Linked DNA regions of Coturnix japonica. The protein of the gene in region 1 interacts with the protein of each later gene in a pairwise test. Links are inferred from orthologs where the notes say so. Each region holds a gene or a part of one and is shown in the gene's direction. Other genes may lie near its edges.

The links.
Region 2: the proteins of FSD2 (region 1) and FMR1 interact in binary tests that used the Homo sapiens proteins (3 or more experiments, as listed by UniProt). The link is inferred for Coturnix japonica from reciprocal best matches to the Homo sapiens genes FSD2 and FMR1.
Region 3: the proteins of FSD2 (region 1) and PBX3 interact in a two-hybrid assay, tested with the Homo sapiens proteins (3 studies listed by BioGRID and IntAct). The two-hybrid records come from large-scale screens. The link is inferred for Coturnix japonica from reciprocal best matches to the Homo sapiens genes FSD2 and PBX3.
Region 4: the proteins of FSD2 (region 1) and FAM107A interact in binary tests that used the Homo sapiens proteins (3 or more experiments, as listed by UniProt). The two-hybrid records come from large-scale screens. The link is inferred for Coturnix japonica from reciprocal best matches to the Homo sapiens genes FSD2 and FAM107A.
Region 5: the proteins of FSD2 (region 1) and SH2D4A interact in binary tests that used the Homo sapiens proteins (3 or more experiments, as listed by UniProt). The two-hybrid records come from large-scale screens. The link is inferred for Coturnix japonica from reciprocal best matches to the Homo sapiens genes FSD2 and SH2D4A.
Region 6: the proteins of FSD2 (region 1) and BRD8 interact in binary tests that used the Homo sapiens proteins (3 or more experiments, as listed by UniProt). The two-hybrid records come from large-scale screens. The link is inferred for Coturnix japonica from reciprocal best matches to the Homo sapiens genes FSD2 and BRD8.
Region 7: the proteins of FSD2 (region 1) and CDC73 interact in binary tests that used the Homo sapiens proteins (3 or more experiments, as listed by UniProt). The two-hybrid records come from large-scale screens. The link is inferred for Coturnix japonica from reciprocal best matches to the Homo sapiens genes FSD2 and CDC73.

Annotation. Positions count from the first base shown.
Region 1 is NC_029525.1:9,848,414-9,852,420, reverse strand, and holds the start of FSD2 (fibronectin type III and SPRY domain-containing protein 2), read left to right. Parts: upstream 1-1,207; 5' UTR 1,208-1,786; exon of another isoform or gene 1,787-2,093; intron 2,094-3,737; 5' UTR 3,738-3,778; coding exon 3,779-4,007.
Region 2 is NC_029519.1:17,289,197-17,292,696, reverse strand, and holds part of FMR1 (synaptic functional regulator FMR1), read left to right. Parts: intron 1-1,233; coding exon 1,234-1,286; intron 1,287-2,261; coding exon 2,262-2,355; intron 2,356-3,500.
Region 3 is NC_029532.1:8,212,748-8,216,824, forward strand, and holds the start of PBX3 (pre-B-cell leukemia transcription factor 3), read left to right. Parts: upstream 1-1,277; 5' UTR 1,278-2,139; coding exon 2,140-2,336; intron 2,337-2,373; exon of another isoform or gene 2,374-2,528; intron 2,529-2,555; exon of another isoform or gene 2,556-2,853; intron 2,854-2,982; coding exon 2,983-3,056; intron 3,057-4,077. UniProt on the Homo sapiens protein: Transcriptional activator that binds the sequence 5'-ATCAATCAA-3'.
Region 4 is NC_029527.1:9,375,824-9,380,020, reverse strand, and holds the start of FAM107A (actin-associated protein FAM107A), read left to right. Parts: upstream 1-1,397; 5' UTR 1,398-1,645; coding exon 1,646-1,669; intron 1,670-4,197. UniProt on the Homo sapiens protein: Stress-inducible actin-binding protein that plays a role in synaptic and cognitive functions by modulating actin filamentous (F-actin) dynamics. Mediates polymerization of globular actin to F-actin. Also binds to, stabilizes and bundles F-actin.
Region 5 is NC_029519.1:30,063,082-30,066,581, forward strand, and holds part of SH2D4A (SH2 domain-containing protein 4A), read left to right. Parts: intron 1-513; coding exon 514-673; intron 674-3,157; coding exon 3,158-3,223; intron 3,224-3,500. UniProt on the Homo sapiens protein: Inhibits estrogen-induced cell proliferation by competing with PLCG for binding to ESR1, blocking the effect of estrogen on PLCG and repressing estrogen-induced proliferation. May play a role in T-cell development and function.
Region 6 is NC_029528.1:11,890,451-11,893,061, forward strand, and holds part of BRD8 (bromodomain-containing protein 8), read left to right. Parts: intron 1-286; coding exon 287-379; intron 380-603; coding exon 604-672; intron 673-1,342; coding exon 1,343-1,520; intron 1,521-2,171; coding exon 2,172-2,276; intron 2,277-2,611. UniProt on the Homo sapiens protein: May act as a coactivator during transcriptional activation by hormone-activated nuclear receptors (NR). Isoform 2 stimulates transcriptional activation by AR/DHTR, ESR1/NR3A1, RXRA/NR2B1 and THRB/ERBA2.
Region 7 is NC_029523.1:3,380,346-3,384,294, reverse strand, and holds the start of CDC73 (parafibromin), read left to right. Parts: upstream 1-1,149; 5' UTR 1,150-1,348; coding exon 1,349-1,479; intron 1,480-3,949. Other genes in the region: GLRX2 (glutaredoxin 2), read right to left, coding at 1-112, 631-700, 935-969.

The DNA of each region.
Region 1 (4,007 bases):
AGTCCTTTCTTGGCTGTTGAATGACTTCAGCAGGAGGGTGGCACACAGTCCCACACCCAGTCCAACCATAACCCCTTCCCCTCCTATGCCCCTCAGTGCCATATCCACCCTGCTCTCGGACCCATGGACAGCGACTCTTCCCTGGGCAGCCTGTGCCAATGCCTCACCACTCCCTCCGAGAAGAAATATTCCCTAATATCCAACCTGAATGCATGTGTTGGCCTTTTCCAATGAGCCCCTATGAAAGGACCCGCAGGCCTCGCAATAGAGCGGGAAGTGACACAGCTTTTTGTACAGCACGTATCTCTCATCGAGGCTGAATTTAATTTACGGTAAACAAAACATTGTGTTCTGGTCTTCGGAAGTAAAGCTGACACTACTAATTTTTCAATAGATGAAAGCCTGTGAGATATTGTAGATTAACAACAAAGAGGCATAAATGAGCTCCCATCTGAAAAATTAATAACATCCGTTTGACAGCATCAGTGTTAACATTCCTACAAAGGCTGCATCATTTACATGGAAACATTTCTGCTCTGATCTTGCAGATGATAGAGACACTATTGGCAGTAATGAGATTATGACTACATGGGTAATTAACTTGTAACTCGTCGCTGAAACAGCCAGCAGTTGTACTGCTAAAAATGTGAGGAAATGACACCAAGTGTGATTGGAATAGAGGAAAAAGCAGAGCTCTGTCAAGATGCAATAGACATTTCCCATCTTACTGAGCTCGAGAAGTATACACTGCAGTGTCCTCAAGCACACTTAAACATCTCCTGCCAGCAAGGTTAGCTCACTAGCAAGTTTACAAACAGAACATTATGTATTCTGGACAACTAAAAGTTTTGTGGGCTTGAGCGGTTACATAGAGCTGAAGTAATCACAGTGATCACAATGTTCAGCAGTAATATCTGCCTATTTTTTTTATCAGGTGATCCATTGCTAAACACAGACCGAAGGGTTATGTTTCTGTGAAATCCCTCCCCTGGCCTGGCCATTAGCCACTTGCTTCACTATAAATAGCTTTCCAAAGTCCCAGCATACGTACACAGAGTGGGGATGGTGTACATATACAAGTGCACATCATGCATTTTTTTCCCCCCTAAATTCTGTTGTTTCTTAGATATTTTCCTAGATGTCTTTTCTAGAACCTGATCTTGATTCCAACTCAGATCACTAGCAGCAATTTCTAGTAATTTGATAGTCAGGTTTTGCCATAAAACTTTTGCAAAGAACAGCATAGGCATTTCAGTTTAACTGTCCTGCTGTCTTCATGTGCATATCCATTTGAGTTTGTTCATGAAGAATGCACATTTTGTGCATACAACACAAGATAACGCACCTGCAACTACACCCTTGGAAATCATGTCTAGAGTCTATTACTGCACTCTGCTGGGTTTGTTAATATCAGCTCAGAAACTGAGTGTGTGCTCTGGCTTTAGAGAGGTATCTGTATAAATGTTCCAAGTCCTCTGGCTCAGGAATCACACAGAACCATCAGAGCCTTTTCTCAGTGGATGGTGTTCGTCCTGGTGACACTCAAGCAGTGTGCAGCTCAAGGACAGCTGGGGCACATCTATATTTGTGCCATTGCTCATTGCTGGCGTGTCCCTATCTGAGGAAAGAGGCGGTCTAGAGTTACTGCAATAAGTCTTCCGACTGCAGATGTAGGAAAGTGGCAGGGAATTGCTTTTTTGTGAATTAATTTTTACTATGGGAAATAAATGTGAAGTTTGATATCATCTGAGCTATCAGAAGAATTTATGACGTCTTAAGATAGAAGGCAAGTTTTTAGGTAGTAACATTCTTTGCTGTATTTTTTTCATTATTGGTGGTCATGGACTTAAACATTCTTCACTGTAATTGTATCTGCGTCTGTAAACTGAGCAAACGTATCATCTGAAAACCTTATTTAGGCAGCAGGGTTCCAGACACGCTTAATTATGCTCATTTTAATTTATATAATTTAATTTTCTTTTGGTAGGAAAAATACTTGTTCACTTTTTTAGTTAGTTGTAGCTTGCAAAGCAAGGCTTATTGTTACAATTATGGGGAAAAAAGTCTTTGTGGGAGCCAGACAACATTTGCTGGTACGTTTCAAGTCCTTTACTCTGTTCCATATGTTAGAATTTGCATGATTTATTTTATCAGCTCTAGCATAAATAGTAGTATTTCTGCATAACTTCTGTGGGGTTTGTTTTTGCTGTGGTAAGAAATCACTAGCTCTAGAATCTACATTCATTTCTGCAGTGCCAGAAGAGAACAGTGAACTTCTGTGTGTAATTTCTTAGAGATCCAGGGGGCTGGATTGCTTTCAGTCATTGGTATCCAACTGGAGAATGGGAAATTTCTTAGCATTTTTCACCAGTTCAATAAGTTTCTAATAAATCACTGAATTTGTTGGCATTGATAGCTAAGTAATCCTCAGGAATATTAGTAAAATACTGATGAAACAAAGTTGAGGTGATAGCAAGTACTTGTAACTATGAAGACTATAAAAAGTAGTTTGAAAGCAAAGCTTATGTGAAAGCTTCTGCAGAAGCTCCTAAAATCCTGAGTGATGAGTGACTGAACTTTTAGCTTTTTTGGAGAATTTTTTGTTTGTTTGTTTCTGGGAGAAAATGGTTTCCAAGGTTTTGCCTGTTTCACTGAATTAGGACTAGATGTAACTATAGATTCATTTAACTTTGGCTGAAATATCCCTATGAACTCTGCTAGCTGTCATAGTCAATTGCTAGAAAAACAGAACTGTTTTTCAGTTCTGCAGCCATGATTTTGCTGAGTGGTGGAGGGCTGGGGGGATGTAGCAGCTCTGACAGAGCACCTGGTGGTCTCCCTGTACCAGCATTAGTTCATTTGTTGTTATTAATAGTGGGATATTGAGAAGGAGTGGGCCTGGGGAATCAGCATAAAGATTGCTTTTGTACCTTTAATGTTGTCCGACATGCATCTGCTTTATCATACAGCTTTGCATTCCGCATCCATATGCTTTTTTCACACCTCCCACATTGCAAGCTTCAGATCAGATCAGGCTTCTCTCAGTTCAAGGGTCTGCCTTGCTTCCTGGAGACTGTGTGATTTATCATGGGGACCATCATCTTTTTCTGCAAATTTCATATGTTAAAAAATGTATTTTCACAACACCTGAGAATCCCCGAAGGACAGAATTTATCCCTGTTCTATGGAAAGGACCTGAGAACGGGAGTGAGAATAAAGCTAAAAGGAACATCAAGTTTCAACTTCAAGAAAGACAACCTGAAAAATCTAGAACAGGAGTTTTCAGGTCATTAGCTAATGTTTTATGGGGCATCAGGAGTCACAACAAGGCATCCTACAAAATACCTTAATGACAGTTCAGAAGCAGCGCTTGATGGCAGCTAAAGGGTGAACAGACCTCAGATCAGTCCATCTCCATTTGTACAGAACACCACTAAATGCACTTGAAGCACATCCCAATGTAATGCTGAAGATGGGACTACCCCACAGTTTGGAATTTAGATGTCAGGTCACAGACAAGTCACTCAGAAAATACAAGATACACACTAAAGACAGCTCTCTTTGCACAGGGGACAGAAAAGCCAAGCATCCCATTAGGGAATGAAGCTTTAGCCTTTCCCACGCTTAACTCTAGGCCCAGAGCTGTCAGCCAATCCTATTCCTTTCTACATTTTTAAGAAAGAACACATCATGCTTGATTCTAAGCACATAGCTGGGATTCTTCTTTTCTTTTACAGGACTGAGACTCATCATCTCAAAAGCCTCACAGAGGATACCAATGTCATCCAGATCTGTCAGTGCAAGAGAGTATGAAAATAGTGACCAATTTCTTGGTCATTCAGCTTCTCCACCAGTCCCAAACTCTAGTGAAACTGAAGGCTTGATATTTTATCACATGGATCTCTACGGATCAAATGAGAGGTTCGATATCTTTCCTGAAGAGCCATCTGGTCAAGGAAGCAGATTTCAGGGAAATACCAGAAGAGAATCTGCACTGAGTAGTGAAA
Region 2 (3,500 bases), on another chromosome or scaffold:
GATGCTTGAGAATACTTGTGAAAGAAGCTGGTGGATTTATTTATTTTCTTAACCTCTTAGGTGCCATACCTAACAGAATCTTAACACTCTTTCAAGACCTGTTATTCTTTTGTTGGGAACTTGAAAAGTGGAGAGAAAGAAATGTACTACAGTTCATTAATTACAACTTACAAGAAGGTTGCTGTTAAGTTATTTTCAACTTACTGAGAATTTGTTCATCTACTGGGGTGCACCTCCTTTGGTAGAATTCACTTCTGTAATCTCTCTTGGACTTTCATTCACCTCTACTTTGCAAGGGTGTGAGAAGCTTGGATAAATGCTAGTGATGAAATACTCAGCACGTTGCTAGTGCCCATCTATTTCAGTAATTTTTAAAGGTATTTTTGAAAAGAAACAAACAATGCATTATTTTCAACCCTCATTGCTGTGTGCCCTCTGTTTGAGGCTATGAAAAATATCTTTCCTAGTGAATCCCTAAGTTTTTTTAATTAGAATATAATCTTGGTGTGTGGTGGATGGGGGAGTTTGAGCATAGAGCTGAGAAATGATCAAGGGTCATTGAGTTCAGTAGCGTAAGTGGAAAAAAGCACCCTCTAGGCTTATAGACTTAACTGTGTGCGCTGCTTCATGGTTGTGTGGGAGACTTAGCACAGCTGCTATTCATTGCCCAGAAGAAAGCAAGGAAGGCTGCAGGGCATTTTGCTTAAGTTTGTATGCTAAGGATGCTGACTGTGTGAATGAAAATTGTGCTAGAATGGATATGTGTGATTTTTGGTGGATCAATATTCAGGCTTATCTTGTGGTGAAACAAGTCTTTTTTTTTTTTTTTTTCTTAAGGGTAGTCAAGTTTAATTTCTAAACTGTAGTTTTCTTGTCAGAAAGTATGAGATAATAACTATAACTCAAGTTTAAGACATTGGATTTCATATCTCATACTTCAAAATGATTTTGTCATTTGTTAGTGACCTCTTCCATTATTTCTAAGAAATAGAAAGGCTGTGTGTATTACTTGGACATTCTGTTTGCCTGCCTGTTTACAGGGGTGAATTCAGGAGGTTACCAGCTTTCAGTGCATGTTTTATATTGGTCTACTACAATACGTAAAAGGCTGACTCAAAAACATATTTACATTCTGAATAATACTAATATCTGTGGAAGAAAAGCGTTGTTTGAGGCTTGTTTTTTAAAAGTATCTGCAGACATACTGTAAGTGTACCTCTTTTTTCTTCACAGGCATTTGTAAAGGATGTACATGAAGATTCAATAACAGTCGCATTTGAAAACAAGTAAGTATATTGCTGTTGTATCTGCAAATACAGAGTTAGGAGAGTTTCTATCTTGAATCTGATGAACCTAAATAGCACTTTTGTTGACGGAGAGTGGCATCCTTAAGATAGTGTATGATTCTGCTGCTATGTTTTAGAATTAGGGGATTAACTACTATGTACGTTTTGTCTGTGCTTTCAATTGTTTAAATATTTTAAATTACAAAAGCAGGGGAAGGTGAATGATCTGAAAATTGTATTATCGGACTTACATAATAGCAACCAGTGTTTTAAGTAAGCGGTGATACCATGACTGCTTCTATCTTATTTGAATATTTTATTTCAGATTTTCCCAATTGCTTTATTACAAAACTTGTTTTATAGATGGTGATGAATGCCAGTTTCCCATGCTTAAATTTTGTACCATGATTTAGTGGCACAGCAAGTTAGTCTTCTGTTACATTGTTTAGCTTAGATTTTGTTTCCTTCAGGAAGGAAAACCAAGGTGAGGTGTGTGTATGTATATGTGTATGTACATATATAATCCTATCTAGTGTATCTTTGTTATGGAGTAGTGTATTTTTTAGGGGTCATTTTATGGTTACTTTTGGAAAAAAAACAAAAAAAAACAAAAAAAAAACTTGTTAATTTTATTAAATTTTAAAGAATTTTAAAATTCAAAGTGAATTCAGACATAACCTGGGTTATTTCCTTTTAAGCTAAAGATGAAAGAGACTGATTTTGAAGTAAAAGTTTAAAAGTGTTAAGAATTTTTTTAACCTGAATTTTTGATGTTGGGGATAAAACCTGTAGCTATAAATTCTAAAAACAACTGGAAGGTTTCAAAACAGTACAGGTAGGAGCAAGATTTTGATATACGTACGCAAATGCTCTGCAAAACAAAAAAAAAAAAAAAAGATGAAATGAAATGAATGAATTTATTTCTTAAAAGGAAAGTGAAAGTGTTTAGGTCATTCACTGTATTTTCATTCGTAGCTGGCAACCAGAGAGACAAATACCATTCCATGATGTGAGGTTTCCACCACCTGCAGGCTATAATAAAGACATAAATGAAAGTGATGAAGTGGAGGTATGTATATTCCATTAACAAAGTATGTTTTTGAGAAGAGAGAGAAAATGTCAGCCAAGCCAGTGGAAGGCTTGTCCCCATATTATGTTGCAACTCTTTTGATTTGAAATACAATGTAGAAAATGATGTCAAACTTACCCTCAAAATGTATTTTTGACAGTATGACAATATCATTATGTGTACACTGATTTACAAAAGAGATGAGATTTTCTTTGAGCATGGATCTTTTGTCAGAACTCAGTGATTTGTAAATATATGCAATGTTAACTTGGACTATAGTTCTTTAACTACATTTAGACTTTATTAAATGTGTGTGTAGATAAGTTAATATAATGTCTGTTTGTTAGCGAAACTTTGAACTGAATGAAAAAATGTGCATTCTGTATACAGGTTGCTCCAAAGGTAATGCCTTCTATTTATTTCCATGGAAACTACAACAGTTACAAAGAGCACAATAGCAGAATCACAGAACTGTAGGGGCTAGAATATCTCTAGAGATCAGGTCCAACCCCCTTGCCAAAGCAGGCTCTCTAGACCAGGTTGCACAGGTAGGCGTTCAGGTGGCTCTTGAACATCTCCACAGAAGGAGACTCCACAGCCTCTCTGAGCAACCTGTTCCAGTGCTCCATCACCCTTACTGTGAAGAAGTTCTTGTGCACATTTGTGCAGAACTTCGTATACTTCAGTTTGTGGACATTTCCAATTGTCCTGTCAGTATGCACTACTTAGAAAACTCTGGCCTCTTCCCTTTGCCTCCCAAACCTTAGATATTTATTGATCAGATCCCCACTGGGTCATCTTTTCTCAAGGCTGGACAGGCCTGGGTCATTCAGCATTTCCTGAGGTGCTCCAGGTCCTTTGTCATCTTTATGGCCCTCTGCTGGACACTACTTAACAGAGCAAATTCTCAGCTGCAAAACACAATTTTTCACCATAGTCAGCCACCATTAGCGTTTTTGCCAGCAATGAACAAAGGCTGAGCTTGAAAAAATCCACACAGGCAAATGTCACCTGATAAATGTCAGTGGGTTATGTTTTTTCTGCATGGAGGAGTTCATTTCCATACCTTTGCTTCATACACTCCATTCTGTCAGGCTGCCTCTCAGCTGCCATCTGTCACATGGTGACAGAATCCAACAGAATAT
Region 3 (4,077 bases), on another chromosome or scaffold:
GTGCTGTGCTGTGCTGGGATGTGTGCGGGATGGAGCTGCGACTGAACCGCCCCTGAAGGGCTGTGCTGCTCTACTACAGCACGGCTGTGTCTGTGGAGCCTCACACTTGGTGGACAAATGTAAGCTGACGTGCAAAGTATTCGAAATAATGAGAATAGAACAGCTCTTTGGAGCAGCAGTTTTAATAAAGCTGGATGACACTAAGAACGCGATCATTCATACCAGAAAATGTCTCAGTAATGAAGATGGAAGATGTTAGAGAATGTTCTAACTACCTGGAGGAACAGTAAAAGTGTTGAACCCGAAATAGCCAGAACATCCCCCACGGGACGTGGAGAGGAACCCCACGTCAAACAGGGGACGTCGGAGTGATGGTGCTGAGGGGAGGAGACGTGGTGGTGTCAGCTGTGATAGCAGCGGGAGCTGTGGAGGAACATGGAGAGCTCTATTGGCCACATTGATCCTGTGCCATCAGCTGCACATCCAGGAGATGTTGGGGAGAGGTTTTAGTTTGGACATGACTTTTATCCGGAGCAGTCCGTCACACAGAGCGCGTCCCCGCCGAGCGCGGCTCCAATTCGTGCCGGGGCTTCACAGCGCCGAACCGAGACTGTGTTAATGCCGTCACACCGCGCAGCGACAGCCAGGCATGGCCGGGCAGGTGAGGGAGGCGCGGGGCCGGCGGGATGTGCAGGTAACACGGCGGGAGCACGAGCCGCTGTTTGTTCTGTACACACGTCACATCTGTGACAGCCCCGCGCTGTTTGCTATGGAGCTGAGGGAACCCAACTTCGTAAAGCTCCGAAGCTCCGTCCCCAAAGCTCAGCGCTCTGAAACCGCCCACGCTCTGGGCGCTGCCCCGTCCCGTCCCGTCCCGTCCCGCCGCGCGGTGCTGCCGCGGTCCCGTCTCGGTGCCGGCGTGTAGCGGAGGCCGGGGCGCTCCCATAGCAACAGAAGGGGCGGGGCCGGAGCGGCTTTCGTCGGGGCCACGTGACCGTTCGAACGGCCCAATCGCAAGTTTCTCGGCCGAGGGGGCGGGGGCTCCGCGGGGGCGGGCGGGCGCGGCGCCGCGCCTCTGTCGCCGATTGGCCGGAGCGCCCGCCCGCGGCCGCGCCGATTGGCCGCCGGTCCCGCCGCTCCGCGCGGAGCCCGCCCCCCGGGGAGCGCCGCGGCTCCGGGCCCGGCGGGAGGGCGACCCCGCGGCGCGGGGCGGGGCGGCGGCGGACACGCCCGATGGGGCGGGGCGGGGCGGGAGGGGCGGCGCGCTGCGGGGCGGGGCGGATCGGCTCGTCCTGTGGCTCGTCCGGCGCTGCTCACAGGGTGACACGTCTGCGGGGTGAGTGAGTGGCATTGGCAGGCTGTCAATCCCTCACCGGAGCGGCCATCAAACAACATAAAGCACACACAGTCACCGGGCGGCCGCGCTCATAAATCCCCGCCGGCTGATATTTTTGCACGTTGCTTCGCACACAGTGTGTAATTAATTTTTTTACAGTTCTTTCCCCTCGATTTCCGCTCTTTTCTTTGCGCGAGTTCAAACTTTGCTCCTCGCCGTCCCCCCGCTCACCCGGGATGGTTGGTGATTTTTGGGGGGAGGGCATTAATTTTGCTCGTGTTTTGGTGCCGTTTTGATGTGTCGGTCCGGGGCCGCTCGGCTCGTTGTGCTTTTTGCTCTTTGCCCTCCCAACTTCTGCGGGATCTGAATAATCCAACTTTGGGCATTTTGTCATTTTTTATTTTTTTTTTACTTTTTTTTTTTTTTTTTATTTTGTTGCCTTTTCGCATAGAAGATTCTTTGGACAAAGTGGGGAAAAGACATAGAAAGCAACAATAAAAACAATAATAGCAGAGGATAACAATCATACTACTGCTCATAATAAAACGCTGTGGAGGAAGATCGCTCCGGGGACAGGCAGCGGCCCGGCACAGACATGGTGCTGACGGGAGAAGACTGTAACTAAAGAAGAGTGATTTACCGCGCCGGGGAGAACAGCGCGTTTCCAGCCGCCGCCGCTCCCGGCACCGCCGCTCCTTCGGCCGCCGTTTCCTTTTGGTGTTTTTGCCTTTTTTTTTCGCCTCTCGCCGTCGCGGAGCGGCGGGGCCGAGCCGGGGCGCTCAGTGCCCCCGCGGCGCGGGGCCATGGACGAGCAGTCCCGCATGCTGCAGACCCTGGCGGGCGTCAACCTGGCGGGGCACTCGGTGCAGGGGGGCATGGCCCTGCCGCCTCCACACGGACACGACGGGGCCGACGGCGACGGCAGGAAGCAGGACATCGGGGACATCCTGCACCAGATCATGACCATCACCGACCAAAGCCTGGACGAGGCGCAAGCAAAGTTGGTGTCGTCTCGTTACGCCTTGTCTGTCGGCGCGCGTGGGGCGCGCAGCTCCGGCCCGGGAACGCGGCCGGGACAGAACTTCTGGCGCCGGAGGAACCGCCGGGCGAGCGGGGCGCGGCCGGAGCGCCGCTGAACGCCGCTTAACGCCGCTGAACGCCTCGAGCCGAGCGATAAACGCGGCAGCGGGAGGTGCTCGAGCCGGCCCCGTCCCGTGTCCGTGTGTCCGCGGGCCCCGGGCCGGGCCGCAACTTTCCGCGGCGCTGCCCCGTGCCCGGCGCGGCGGGAGATGGATGGCGGCGCCGAGCAGACACCGCCGCGGGGGGAGAGAGCGGCGGCCGTCCTAAATCACCGCCCTGCGAAACAAAGCGCGGCCCGGCCCGGGCCGCTCCGCAATAAATCAGCCCCGGACGGCGCTGATTTACGCCGCGCGCAGCGGGGCCCGGGCCCGGCCCGGCGCTGAGAGGCGCCGCCGCGGTGTGGCACGGAGCAACGGCCCCGCTCGGGCCCGCTCCTGGTGCGGGCCGGGGCCGGTTTCGGGGCCGGTTTCGGGGCCCGATGCCGGGCTCTGCGGGCGGCCTGGCGGCGCGGCGCGGCGGGCGCCATGTTCGCGTCGGGCGCTAACGCTGTGTGTGCTCTCTTGCAGGAAGCACGCGCTGAACTGCCACAGGATGAAGCCCGCGCTCTTCAGCGTCCTCTGCGAGATCAAGGAGAAAACAGGTAAGGGCCGGCCCGCGCCGCAGCCATCTTGAGCCCTCCTCCGCCGCGCCTCGGCGCTGCCGCCCGCTGCTCGGCCGCGGCCCTCCGCCGCCTCCGGGATGCGCCCGGCCCTGCCCTGCCCTGCCCGCGGTACCGGCGCACAGCGGCACCCGGCAGCGCCCGGCCCGGGCCCGGATCCGCCGCGTGCAGCGCCGGCAGCGCCGCGAGGGAAGCGCTGGAGAGGGACGGGCAGCGCCGAAGTGACGGATGCGGCCGCGCGTGCAGAGCGGCTCCGGCTCCGGCTCCGGCTCCGCGTTGGCAGCTGCGGGCGGCGGGGTTTGAAACACTGAAATGATGGTCACAACAACGTTATTTTCCGTGCAACATTAATGAGACGGGAAGGAATGTCGCGTTTGTCTCGAAGGCGTTTGAAGGGATTTTTGCAAATTTCTTACATCGCTGAATTTACAGAGATTTTTTCTTTTTTTAAAATAAGACAATTTTGAAAAATATCGTACTCTTCATTGTGACAATAAGGACTTTTTTGACTTTTTTTTTTCTTTTTTCTTTTTTCCTAATCTGGCCTTAAAACTGAACACCTGCACTCGTTTGCTTTTTAGCTGTATTTGGTGCTCCATTGCAGCCCTCTTAGTTGCAAGCTGAAAATCTGGGGTTATAGAGGTTAGCAGCCGCCTCGTGCACGCAGCAGAGCCCAGCTGAGCTGCCCGGTGCGCGGCTGTCGGTGCAGTTGGTGCGTGTTGTGCACGGGCTCCTGTGCCGCCGGGTCCCGCTTCAGCTCTGCTGACGGCTGAGAGCTGGATATCGGCTGCGCTGCAAATATTAAGATTGATTCCACGTTACACTGCGTGACATTACCTCAGATAAGGAGCGCGATCCTCTCTGCCTCCCCCCTGCCTGCGCGGTGTCCCTCCATCCGCGGCTCCTGTTTGTTTTCCTGCCCTGAACTTTGTGCCCGTGCAGCGGTGCCGGCAGCGGCCCCTGCTTGTGCTGAGCCGGAGCGGCCGTGGGTCCTGGGTCCTGT
Region 4 (4,197 bases), on another chromosome or scaffold:
CTTCAAACGAAGCGTTTTGTGATATGTTTTCTAGTTGTTTCTTAAATAATGTGTATAATTATAAACCAGTACCTCCTTCCCTCCATTTTCGAGCCTAATCCAGGCTTTTCTCCACAGGCCTGGCATTGCCAACCCCTCTGCCACCAGCTGGGTTTCCCCATCACCCATCCACTGTCACAGCAACATACATGGCTGTCCCCTGCCCACAGACATGGGGATGCTCTGGCCCCAGTGGTCTTCCACTGCCATCACAGAGGAATTCCCTGTTAGCTGTAGTATTTTATCCAAGCTTATCCTCCTGCACTTAGTGTGCACCTGACCACACCGTGGGAAGCCTCTGCCATACATCGATCCCTAAATCTGCTGCTGCAGCAGCCGTTAATCCCGGGCGCTGAATCACCCACACGGCAGCAGCAGTGAGCACCAGCACAGCGCAGCAGACACAACAGCCCTCGCGCCACACACCCCACTGCACCGCCAGCAGAAATATGCCAACTATTTTAAGCCCCCTCAGAGGATCTGAATTCGCTTGTAAGCCAAACTGAAAACAGCCTGGGACCCGTAAAGGCTGTTGCAAAGGGGAAAGCAGCACCTAGTAGCAGCTACAGTGGGGAAAACAACCAACCCTGCTTGCAATGCGTTGTTTTGGCTTTACACCAGAAGCCTTTCTAAAGGAAATGTATGTCTCAGCATGCTAAAGGCAGCTATAAAGAGCACTGAGCCCATCACTGAGTGTTAGAGGTACACGCAGTTTGGGAACAGTAGGGAGAGCTGAAGTGCAGCTCCTGTGTGACCTCACTGTGCAGCCAGAGCTCCAAAGAGCCCTTCCTCCCCAACTTACTGCAGCCTGAAAAATAAATCAAAAATCCCACAGTGTTCTGGGAGTCATAAATACGGCTTTAAGTGCCATGATTATTTAGCAAATTGAATTTGCTTATTAAGGGTGACGGCTGCAGGGACAGCAAACCCCACATGAGGTTGTTTTTCCATCTCCCCGCTGTTTCGGAAGGTGCAGAGATGTGGATGGTTCCTACCTGGGTGAGCACACTCGGTCGCAGTACCGTGTTCCCAACTCACTCAGCCCTGAGCTCTGCCCAGAGCAGCGGCTGCAGCCCCCAAGAACATCCACAGGATCAGATCTGCAAAATCCAGCACTGCTGCACAGCCGGGACTCAGGGGCTGTCCTGCCTTATTTTGGGGTACCGATTTATTTCAGCAAAGCACCAGAGAACAAGCCAGGAAGGATGCCACAAGCGAGGACTGCTGGGTGCCGGGGCCCCGCGGCCGAGCGAATCCGCGTCCTGTGACATCTTGCCCTGTCAAGTGCAATTACTGTAATCTTCCACAGCCTCTCAAAATACGGAGCCCGGCTTAGAAACCGGGCATCCGCAGCATGAAAGCTGCCTTTGTGCCCGGGCAGAGCCTGGGCGCGCGCCAGCCGTGAGGTGCACGAAGAAAATGAGTTCTCCACGTGCTGGGAGAAGGGAGGAGAAGGGAACCCTCCCGACCGGCCCCACTGCAAACGGGCTGGAGCTCAGCTGCCTCTCCCCGTGGGGACACTGGGGGCACTGGGAGCTGCACGGCCACCAGAACCCACAGGCATAGCAGGGACGGTGCCAGTGGGGCACGGCCAAAGTCCTGAACAATGGGAGGAGCGCATGGGAAGAAGGTACGTGGGTGCGGGATGCAGTGGGGGGTTTGGGGAGAGGGCACTGTTTGCTCACATGGGGCTTGTTTTGCTCGCCGTGTGCTACAGGTGGTGACAGCAGAAGGGGATTATAGTGGGACTGAGCTGCTCTTAAGTAGTGCCACCTGATGGGTTCAGTGCTGGGGCCGTGCTGGGCCTTTGGGGACAGCAAGGAGGGGATGGTGAGAAATGTCAGCCTTGCAGATCAACCCCCAGCACTAAGTTTGCACCCAGCTTCGGTCCCCACTCCCACACCACTTCCTTGCTCCCAACTAATGGAAGCCAGGGCAAGCCACCACCCTCAGCACGGGGTGACAAGTGCACATCCCTTAGGAAAGCAGCCATAGAACTCTAAAGGAGTTATACTAGGAGTAACTCTAAAGGGAGCGGTGCTGAGGGGTCCTGAGGCACGCAGACATGCTGGAGGTGGCTGTGCTGTGGATGTCATTGGGTGTCACTTTGCCTGGAGATATGTCACCACCGCGCGGCTGGGCTGCCCTGCTCTGGTGTCAGTTCTTCTACAGCTCCCCTCCCAGCTCCATCCAGTAGGTCAGGAAAAACAGAAGGGCTGTCTGAGTTCCTGACCTGCATAAAGCTGCTCAGATTACAGAATGCTTTAAGAATGCATTTTCAATTTGTCAGGAGCAATATCGGGAAGGTCCTCCTGCTTTCCCCCTGTCTAGCTTCAAGCAGTTTGTGGTGTCCTAAGGGCTTCAAGGAATCCAAACATCTGCTCCCTCCTTTCACCCTCTATCAAAAAGTTAAAATGAAATTTAATGAAAATCCCTCCAAAAAGAGCTGGGCTAGGACCCCAATTACTCACAAACAGCACCCAGTGACCCAAAACTGGCACCTGATCTTCATCCAGGCCTTGGCACATGTGCATGGCGTTACCAGGGCTGGGGCAATAAGCTGGTTAGGTCAGCCTTGGCTCAGAACTCAGTGCTCCCACCCATCCGTGCCATCCTCTTGATGGTTCTGGGGCAGCTTTGCTGCTGCTCCCTCTCTCCAAGCAGAGCAGTGCCAGCAGGGCTTGTGATTCAGTGCTTTATCCGAGAGGCAGGGAAGGTGCATGGGGTGGGCAGCAGAGCTCTGCTTCCCCCACAGCCCCTGCAAGAAAGCAGGGCACTGCTGTGCACAGCTCTGAGGGAACATGGGGGCAGGATGAGGGCTCTGCATTGCGTGCCAGTGCTGCCTGTCAGCAGTCTCAGCCAAGCCCCTGCCAGGCTCAGAGCAGAGCAGCATCCAAGGGTCGGCAGCAGGGATGTGGAGTGCAAGGCAATGCCCTGCTCCACAACAAAAGGGGCTGGAAAGGCTGCCAGTGGGGCTCCAAGGTCATGGCTGCTTTCAAAGGCTGCAGCTGCTCCCATAAACCTCCTCTGGCAGCAGCACTGACAGCAGGACACGGGGCTTTGCCCATAGCCCCATGCTGCAAGGCAAGGATCAGAGCCAGCCCTGGGTTCTCTGCTCACAGACCCTCACTGCTCGGCATAGCATGAGCCCCTCCTCACAACCCCAGAACAAACCCTCCCAACAACCACACGAGCACAGCCTTCCCCAAAACAGCAGCAGGGTTTGAACCGCAGCCGTTTCCCCAGGGAAAGTTCTTCTGTCCCCAAATTCCCAAGAGTGTCACTTTACACTAATGTCAGATGAGCTGAGATTAGGAAGCTTTGCTCTGCTGCTGAGCGAAAACAACAAGAGGCAGCATGCCAGTGCTGGGGATGGCCCTTGTTAGCACAGCAACACCTGGTGCCCACGCTGAGTTCCTCCATGGGAATGGGACAGGCAGCCAGGACTGAGCACTGAGCAGTGTGACCAGCCCCAGGCAGGTGAGACCCAAAGCAACTTCACCCCATGGGCACACGGCTGGCACCACACTCAGCACCATCTGCAGAACCCATCTGACAGGGAGCAGTGGTGCAATGCCAAGGCAATGTTAAAAGGAGATTTTAAAAGTCCACAGTGTTAGATGAAAGCTCCACTGGATGAAAAAGCTGGCTCTTGTCATTCAAGAGCTTGGAAACCCTTATCCTAACTACAAAAATCCTGGGCGCCTATATTGGAAAGTGCAGGATGGAATAAGGCAAACAAGAGGCACTGTGTCTGCGGCTGGCAGGAGAGAGGCAATGGGAAGGGAAAGGGCTGCTCCATGCCAGGGCTGCAAAGCACACAGAGGAAGTGGCCACAGCAGGACCAGCGTGGTGCCATCCTGGCACAGTGAAACCAATCATACTAGGCTGAAGCGGCAGCCCCACGACATGGTTTTGTGGCAATGGCCCCGGGAGCACATCCAAACCCAAATGGCAATTGGGATCCACAGTGCTCCCACGTCCTGAAGCACTGTGCCCAATGCACCTGCAAGTGTGGAGTGTGGAGATCACTGCAGGGCCACGCAGCAGCTGCCAGGTTGGGGATGGCTCAGTGGTCCCCAAATAGAAATGAACTAATGCAATTAAAGGCTTCACTGCTTTGCTGCTCCCTCTGCTCCAGGGGTTCACTCCAATGCA
Region 5 (3,500 bases), on another chromosome or scaffold:
GACAAATCCAGCATTGCCACAGGGAAGTAACACTCATCTCTTTGTAAAACCTCTTCCCTTTGATTTAAACTTCGGGGCTGGGCTGGGTGCGGTCATCACTGTCACACTTCACTTGCAGACCAAAGGCACAGGTTTTCTGCAGGTACACAAAATACCAGCAGAGATCAGCTCCAGCTTGGGGCCTGCCCCAGCTCCTCAGTCTCCCAGGATATCCCTGCTGTGCAGTAACCTCAACATATCACAGGAAATGGTAACTGTTCCTGCAGCAGGCCACGTGTTTGGATTGCACTGATTCACCAACAGGTGCTTGCCTGCCTACAGCAGGCCAACAGTTACTCACAATGAATAACTAATTTAATTGTTCCATCTACCTGATCTGGAGATATGACAGCTGCATGCAGGCACACACTGCTCCATCACAGCACTACTTGCTCATGTGTAATTTCCTGTCAGATGTTTAGAGAGCAGAGAGTCTCTCCCTGGTATTCCTAAGAACTGTCCCTTGTGTTTCAGAGAGACGGACTGTGCTGTAACACAGTCTCTGCAACCACAGCCAGAAGTCCTGGGTGAGACAGAAGTTCAGGGAAACAATAAAAACACTGTAGAGGAACAGAAAGAAGAGGCGAGAAAAAACACTGCTGGTACAATTGGGAAAAGCCAGGAGCTCAAAAAGGTAGCTTTCCCCTTTTTTTCCATACTAATAACCATTTGCTTTGAGATCTAGGAAGTGCAGCAAATCCTGGTTGCTATAAATAGAAATCTGAGAGAGAAGCCAGCTGACTATTAAGGTTTTTCATCTGTACTTTCAGGACAAGCCATACTGCTACATCCTTCCTTAGGACCTGAAGGTCCAAGTGCTATTGTTAGCTGGGACAGATCTGTTCTGCACCACTAGACAAGTTACTCTCAATTCCTTTGCTTCCCATTCTCCATGGATATAGTGAGAATCACATCACTTTCCTTCCTTCTCTGTGGCAGATTGGACTGCTTTTCAGAGGCAAAAGAGGAAAGCCATGGCCCTCACATAACTCATCTACTTTCACAGAAGATGAGATGAATGTAATTCTGCCACTATTCTCTAAAATACGTATCCTCAAGTCCCCTCTTTTGTTGTCTATTTCTTTTTTTCTTTGTCTCCTAGAAAAGATGATAGTTGATAAACTTGACAGCACAGGACAACTCCAAATGCAGTAACTACAATGACAGCATCTCCATCTTTACTGAGGTGTTTCATTACAGAAATATTTTTCTCCATTAATAAATACATTTGTCCTGTTTAACTAGCTACAAAAAGCCATTTACAGAGAACTGAGATTAAAAAAAAAACAAACAAAAAACAACAAACAAAACAACAAAGAAATTAGCTACCAGTGCAATCAAAGTTGAACTGGAAAATCCTGCCAGTTCAATGGGAGAAGTCCAATCTCATCCTGTGAGTTTTCGTTCTGCCTTTTGCTGCTAACTTCTATGAGTGTATATTGCTCTGTTACACAACCATGCCATATTTCAGCATAAAAGCACTGTAACTAAAGGCTGAGTTTGGGCTAAATGCCTCTCCCACTGCTGCCAATATGCTGAAGGGAATTTGGTGGCTGAGTGGCTGTTTCCTTTATCAGATGGTTCTGAATCACACAAGGTTTTTCTCAGCACTGTTTGCTGAAGTTGAGCAACTATGTGGGAGATCCTTTTTTTTCCCACCCTCCCTTTTTTAAAGAAAGCTATTAGTCAATATTAACAGCAACAAAAACGAAACCCAAAATCCATCACTGAATCAGCCAACTAAAAATCCCACTACCAAAGATATAAAACCCTTACAAACTTTTGCAGATGAAAACAGAGGAGTTTTGCATATTTTACTTTCTGTTTTCCGTCACTGTATTGTAAATAAGTTATTTTCCCAGGTTTCTGATGTTTATGCTAGTCAAGGGGAGGATACAGGCTGCAGACCCAAATGTTGCATTTTGTAAAGGTGGAGAGAAGGGGAGCTAGCTTTCTCTCACCCTCCCTTGTTAAATTGCCTTTTCTGTACCTGAGGGATCTGAGCACTATGCTTCGCTGCAGGGGCCATGGGGTTTGATCTAAGAAAACAAGCTGCTTCACTCAAGTTTTAAGTTCCTAGTTCTCTGTTTAGGAAAAGGAAATTGGAAATCCAGGGTCATATTAAATATTAGCCCAACAGGTGATAGAGAAAGCAAAGCATGTCCTTGGAAAGCAGTGTAGTACAGCTAACTTATTACTCACTGTGCTGTGGGAGGCAGTTTGGGTCAAATAGGGTGGTGGGTGGATGTTTGCTCAAAGACAAGCCTCACCTTTTCCTAAAAGACAGGTCTCAGCTGCCAGCATAGCCAGACTGGTTTTAGGAAAGAGAAAACATGAGGCATGCAGCTAGTTGGGTCAGTCTGACAGGCAGTGGTTTGCAGCAGTCAGCCACAGTAACAAAAGAGAAAAAGCAGCTGAAGCACTAGATGGCAGGTTCTGCTAGGGCTTGATTTATGGAGATGGAAAGAAGGCAAGCTTCCCTTCTTTCTGCTCCCTGGGACCACTTGTGAGTATCACTTACCTAATCTAGGCAGACTTAGGACAATTCCTGACACCCCTGACTCTTTTCCCGGTGGTATATTTGATTTAATGTGATGAAAAAAAAACTAACTATTTTTTTATCAGAGAAAACTGGAAAAAATTGTTAACATAGAAGTCACATTACTCCTTCTGCCTCGAACTCCTAGAGTCCAGCAACTTGCATATGCAGGAGATTAGACTGAGGTGTACCTGAAGTTGAAAGCACAAGTGAGATTCACTCTGGAAATGCTTTACTGGTGCACATCTCCAAGGGCAAAATACTCCCAAGATTCTTGTGCTCTACCTTTGGGGAGAGTGAAAAGGAAAGGGTAGCTGCTTCTTGCCATCAGCTCTGAAAATGCAGAATGTTCCTGCCTGCCTTACTGGGCTTGCCAGGGAGTGCTGTGAGAAGAGAGCAGCCTACAAAGCACGGCACTTCCATACAAAGAGCATTCCAGGCTATGGCAGCCCAGCACTACTATGTGGTACCCACAATCTCCACCTGCAGTCATGGAGATTTTTGTCAAGGACACATTCCAAAAAAGAGTAAAGTTCCAAATTCTGCATTTATTTCTCACCACTCTTTTCCTCTGCCCAGAAGGAAGCCCGGGATGTTCACCAGATGCTGGCAGACTGTCAGATGAGGAAGAGTGGCTTCTCACAGGTAAGCTGCAACCTAGGATGTTGCTGACTTTGTTTCCGACACAGACATTATCTTTAAGTCTCAGTCAGCTGTTTTCCTCTTGGCCCAGCTCTGCCCAGTACTGCCATACTCTACTAATAAGGTGTCAGAACAAAGCAGGCCAGCCTGGCAGACTGGGGAGTAATATGGGGAGATATTCCATGTTATTTCTGTTTTGCCCTTCTTTCTCTGTCATAACCCGCAGTAAAGTAAGAGGTTCTTTGAAATCAAAGGGATTCACAACTGAGAATGGAATCCC
Region 6 (2,611 bases), on another chromosome or scaffold:
ACAGGTGCAAATCCCAGGCTGTTTCCTGGGGGGAGTGCAGGATTCTCATTTCTGTTTTGCTGAGTGGGTCCAGTGGGGGAATTTGTTGATGATTTGTCTGGCACTAGATTGTCCTTACTCAGAAGTGCAGGTGTTCAAACAGTGCTGTAGTGCCAGGTCCCATTTTTTATATTTCTCTCTGGCTTGGGTTACTGTAAGCATGACAAAGGCAAAATGAACCGTAAGGTTTCTGCGCCAGGGCAGTATGGAGATTCACAGAGGAAATCATATTCTGTTTTTTTCTCAGCTCAGTGTGCAGTGAGGATCAGGAAGCAATACAGGCTCAGAAGATCTGGAAGAAAGCCATCATGCTGGTTTGGAGAGCAGCGGCTAATCACAGGTGAGTTTGATGTCTTGAGAACTGGCAGAAAGAAGTGACTAATCTCAGGCAAGTCTGTACTTTCCCAGCTCTGAGGCTTTACCTGCCTTGTTATGGGGAGATGATGAATCACACTGTTAGTGATAGCAGACAAATAAACATGAGAGCATGACACAAGTATTTGAGAATTGTTCCTCTATTGGCAGGGGCAGGGCATTCACTGGAATCTCTCTCTATCTCTTTAGGTATGCCAATGTCTTCCTGCAGCCTGTGACTGACGATATAGCACCAGGCTACCACAGTATTGTGCAGAGGTGAGTCTCAGCATTCTTATGTGACAAGAACTCTGGTGTATTTGCGTAAGAATTTCTGCCAGGAAGAGTCTAGAGTTCATCCATTGTTCAGACTGCAAAACTTGAAAAATACCTTTCTTCTGACATCATTCATTGTATTTCCCTAAGAAAAAGGGACACCTTCAGTAACACATACAAGTCTGTACACAGCCCTGTCCTTGAATGAAATACAGATTTGACCAGAACATTTTTTTATCAGTGAAGTGGTATGTGACTATCAGCTTCTCTGTTATTGTCCAAGGGTTGAATTTAAGGTGTGATGTTCCCACAACCCGGATTCTTTAATCAGCTCTTTTATTGCCTCAGAAAGTCTAGATTATGGAAGAGTTACCAAAATGTGCCTAAATAGTCCAGTGGTTGTAGCTGTGGCTCCCTTGTGTCACACGGAATGCTTGGAGAAGGCAAATGCCTCTCTTGAGGCAGCTGTTACATGTACTTACCATTCCTGTTAACTGCTGAGCAGATTGTGTCTCCTGATCTGAAGCCTTGGAACTCAGGAATGCAGCCTATGTGGGAACATATTCTGCTAAATTAAATAGATGGTCTAATTAGATATGTTTTAGTCCTTAGACTGCAAATGAGAAAGGAGAGAGTTACATGTTTGCATTGCTATTTTGAATGTATTTCATAGGCCGATGGATTTATCTACCATCAAGAAGAACATTGAGAATGGACTGATACGAACCACAGCTGAGTTCCAGCGTGACATTATGCTGATGTTTCAAAATGCAGTTATGTACAATAGCTCTGACCACGATGTGTACCATATGGCTGTAGAGATGCAGCGAGATGTCCTGGAACAGATCCAGGTAAAGTACTGAGCTGAGGCTGTTTCAGAACAGAGTTGTCTGCATTGGTCCACAGGTACAGGAAAGACTTCTGGAAGTGAAAATGAAGTTTCACTCACAGTGTCTTCAAATGAATCCCCATCTTTGCCTGCTTGTACTAGCTTAGGTGTTTGTGGTGAACTGGATTGTTAAAACTAACACAGTGAGATGTTTGTTTGGCTTAGCCCAGACTAATTTCAAACCTGATTTCCTTTGGGGGTGCACATATGCTTAGGCCAGCAAGAACTGGGGTGTGGTTCAGGAACAGAAATGAGCAACAAGATCAGTGAATGACAAGGGACGCAGCTGCTGCTTTTGGTGACTGTCAGTCTGTGCTGGCTTGAGGCACATACAAAACTGTCCTGAGATTGTCCTTTGAATATGTATCATTAGAATTTCTTCTGAAGCAGAACGTCCCAGCTGCCAGGGCTGTCATAGTTTGAACTGGATTTTTATAGTCCCTCCAGACTTGTGGCTGCTGAGGTGAATGGGGAAACTTATTCTGAGCAGCAAACAAGGAACTGAAACTGTCTCTGACCCATTCGTTCCCAGCCCTGTGGTTTGTGATAGCTGACAAGCTTTAACTGAGCTTGTTTTGCTAGAGAATCTTAACAGAGTATGGTTTTCCTGCAGCAATTTCTGGCTACACAACTGATCATGCAAACGTCAGAGTCGGGGATCAGCGCAAAGAGCCTGCGTGGGCGAGACTCCACTCGCAAGCAAGATGCTTCAGAGAAGGTGAGAATGCTGCACCCTGCAGAAGGGCGGCTGGTGTCTTTTGGAGGATCTCAAGATACCACATAAAGTTCCAGTACCAAAGATGTGCAGAATGTGTTTTTAGATTGGAATAGGTCCTGCATCTTCATGTGAACAATTTACTGTTATTATGTTTCTTTAACTAAGTCCATTGATTAGACTTCAGCTCTGGGGATGTACATCAACCCAGAGATGGGTCTGAGAGTCATGAGTTATTTCTGCAATCCCTATGTTTCTGTCCGTGATTTCAAGAGCAAGTGATGAAAAGTGTTGTGAAATGAGGAAATATTGGAGGAAATATTGGAGGAGGTGTGGTA
Region 7 (3,949 bases), on another chromosome or scaffold:
GTTCTACAGCTGTGTAATTGACGTTCAGACCGTCAAAAAGCTTTTTTGCCATTCTGCAGTAGACGCAGGTTGTTTTAGAGAAAATCACCACGCAGTTGTCTGAGATTATCTCCTATAATAAGCAAAAGAACGTTCAGGTTGGTAAGTTGGTGTATTTTAACAGTATCTGACAGTCACAAAAACAAACAGGGATCTATCAATCTGCCATTACAGCAACAAGCATTTGGTAGGGGTACCTTTACAAGGTTTAATTCCCCCACACTGTGAGCAGTACTGAGTTTGACTAGAAGTCTTTTCAAAAAGTCACATAAATGATACAGCGTAGGAAAAACAGGTCCCAGCACTGGGGATAAACAGTGCGTGACTTAATATCAACATTACTATTAATTATCTACAAGTATGTTTGATATGCAGAACTGCTTGTGGCAGCTCCTCCCTGGAAGCTCTCAAGGCTGGATGGGGCTGTGAGCAACCAGGTCTAGAAGGATGAGTCCGTGCCTACAGCAGGGGGCTGGAACTCGATGGCCTTAAAGGTCCCTTCCAACTCAACCCATTCTATGATTTCCTAACTCACAAGAGCCCTGAAGCAACCACGAGTTTCAAAAGATCAGTAAACGCATCACCCGTTACCTGTATCTGATTCACAGCAGCAGCATCGGACAGACTGACAGAGGTAGGCAGCCTATTTCCCATTCTAAAACTGAAGAAAAACATAAGTGACACGTTCAATTTAAAGGCTGGCCTCATACTACCTTTCAATGTAACGTCTCCACCAGGTGGGAGCTCACAAAGCCCACAGTTACGGGTATACGCTCCCTCAACCCAACCTGCCCAGATCCACGGCCTGCACCCTCCCACTGGGTCACCCCCATCCCTACCCCTTCTCCTACCCTCACCCCCCATCCCCATTCACACCCCGTGCCCCCCAACCCACCTGCCCCTCAGTCGCAGCGCCCTCTGCAGGAACATGGCGGCCGGCAGGAAGGGGCGGCGCTCCCACCCAGTCCTCACTGCGGTCCGGCTCCTCTCTCAGCCCCCTCCTCCTCCCAGCCCCGCCCCTCGAGACTCGGGGCTGCCCCTCGCGGTGCCTGTGTCCGTTATTCCTCAGTTGGGGCGGTAACGAGAGTCAGTTCGATTCTTAAGCCGGTTACAAAGCGTCATAGGGAGGCAGCGTTGACGCATGCACTTTCGTTTCGCTGAACGGTGATAAATCCCTTCTCTCCTCAATTTCCCGGATCCTGTAGGGCAGCCCGGGGCCTGGCTGTTGGCGGCGGGGTCCTTCCTCGGCTTAAGGAGGGGCCGGGCCCGGAGCGGAGCGGCGGCGGCCGGCGGCGGCTTCGGGGTGAAGATGGCGGACGTGCTGAGCGTGCTGCGGCAATACAACACGCAGAAGAAAGAGATCGTGGTGAAGGGCGACGAGGTGATCTTCGGAGAGTTCTCCTGGCCTAAAAACGTCAAGACCAACTATGTCATCTGGGGGTGAGCGGCCGGGGTTGGAGGGGAAGGCAGGAGGCCGGTGTCGCGGGGACGGGGCGGGATGGGAGATGGAAAGAAGTTGAGCCGAAGTTGCGGGAGGCGGCGGCGGAGCGAGCGGAGGGGAAAGGCCGCAATCGGCATCGTGAAGGTGGTGGGGCCTGGCCGGGCAGCGCCATGGGCAGCGCCGGGAGCTGCTTTGTACCTGTTGAACTCGGTGGTTTGATAGCACTGCTCATAGTGCACCGGGATAGGAGGGAGTCAGTGAGACTCGTAAAACACTGCATTGAAAGCCGAAGGGAAGCTTTGAAAGCCAAGGGGAAGCAGTGCTTTTTGTTAAGTATAGAGTACTTTTAACTACTGATCAGCAGGACTACTTTAAAACGCGATAGAGAAGCAGAGGAACTGAAGGATTTCTCAAGCAAACCCGTTGTCGTTCAGCCTGAGAGCAGGGTTTGTTTTTGTTCTTGCTGTTATGATAAGAATATCGATGTATGAATCAGGACGCTGCAAGTACTTCAAGAGAGAAAGGAAACTGAGCTGTTCGGTTGGTTAGTTCATAGACAGGTTGATTTGTTTAAACTGGCTTCGCTTTGCTTTCAGTATAGAACTAGAGTTGTACTACCTTGTTACCTGTTTCATGCACTCAGAAACTTGTTGGGGGTTTACTTGCACTTCCTGGCTGCGAGGGAGGGGCTGGTCTGTACTTGGGGAGGAAGAGAAACATCTGCATAAACAGCTGAGCTTTGGAGTCCTTGACAAATCCTCCCTCAGTTCTGCTGAGTAACTATGGGCAGTTAAGGTGTTTTCCTTGTTGCAGTTTGCCTTTCCAGCAAGGAGTAAAGGCTGACTGGACAGACAACTTTCATCCCTGTTCTTTAGGGAACACAGGAGCAGATGCACAAGCCAAACTACTGCTGCTTAGGGAGACTTGATTTGGGCATACAAATTATTACCAAAAGACATCATCTGGGGAGGAAAACTTTATTATGCACATTAAGGTGGCTTTATATGGTTGAGGAAGGATTGTGGGTGAGCAATGGGTATGTGTAGCTGAACAGAAGCAGTAGCTTCATAACAGCTGTGTATTTCCTCTTGTTTTGTGACAGATTTTGGAGATATGTTTTCTGTCTTTAGTGAATTGTTGTTCACGCCCAAGAATCTGAACCTCTGATAGAATCAGACTGCTGCTGATGCACGGCGTGTCTTGTGAACTGCTGTGGATCTTTAAGTCCTTAAAACAAAGGTGTAAAAATGAAACCAGTTCTACAAGCTGTGCTCAGTAGCTTTGAGATGATAGTTTAGGAGCTGTTAATTCATGTAATTTCAGGGTCATATGAGGAACATCTTCAGGAACTTTTCAGATTGGAAGCCTCCCATATCCTTGATCCCTTGGGAGGGTCCAGGCTATGCTTGCAGTTGTTAGGAGCTTAATCTTTCACGAGGCAAATATGACTTCCATCTTAGGTGTCCACAGCATGGTTGCTGTAATTGCATCTCTACAGTCTCCTGCAGTCAGGAGAGAGTAATCCAAGTCTGAGTAGCAGTGGTGGCATTCTGTCCCTTCTAGAATTAGAAGTAGTCCCAGTAGACATTTAACACTTGCTCCTTGAGCACGGAGCTGGCAGGAGCCAGCGGTGCTGCTGGGTGTGCTGAGCTCTGCCCTGCTCTCCCCACTGGCACCAGGGGCTGCCAGCAGTGCGTTATTCTGAGGAGTGGAGCTGCTTGAAAAGCAACCTGAAAGACATGGATGTTCATTAAATCCAGGTTAGTTCCCAGATTGAATTCACGGAACATAATAGAATACTTCTGAGGGTGTGTGGCTAGAGATAGTGTTTTGTGTGTTTTGATATAATGCTTGATCTCTGGCTGTGTAAGAGTGAATGTAGAATTAGTTCTGAATCCAAAAGCAGGAATCCATCTAACAGAGTGCCTTAGCTGCCTTGTTTACCCATCAGAGGGATTATAGGCACAGCTGAGAAGTTTTTAAACAGTGATTGAGCTGCTGGTTGTGGCTCAATGGTACCCTGCATGTCTAGTCTTGTGGTTCTGAGGATTATCGCTTTCTGTCACAGATGGGACACAGGCCCTCAGGAAAATTCATGCTTTCAAGCACACCAGAAGAAACAGAGCAGTTAAAAGATGAGTTACCCTGTTACCCAGAGGTTCAGTGTGAATGCATGAACTGGAAATACATTTGTGCTGTTAAAACCAACCGGGTGAAACGTTCTCTTTTGTGTTGTGTAAACACTTCAGTTTTTAAGCTGGAGTTTAATAGCTACTAAGAGATTGAGACTTGCATATTAAAAAAAACCCAAACAAATAAAAACAGTAGTGCTGGACTGGCAAGGTTTGCAACTTGATGATTTTTATTTCTTAAATAATTGATATCATTAGTCATAAGGGATGAAAGAATTATTAATTTCTTTAGCTACTTTGATGTTAGTAATCGAGTGAAGTAAGCTACATTCAGAGA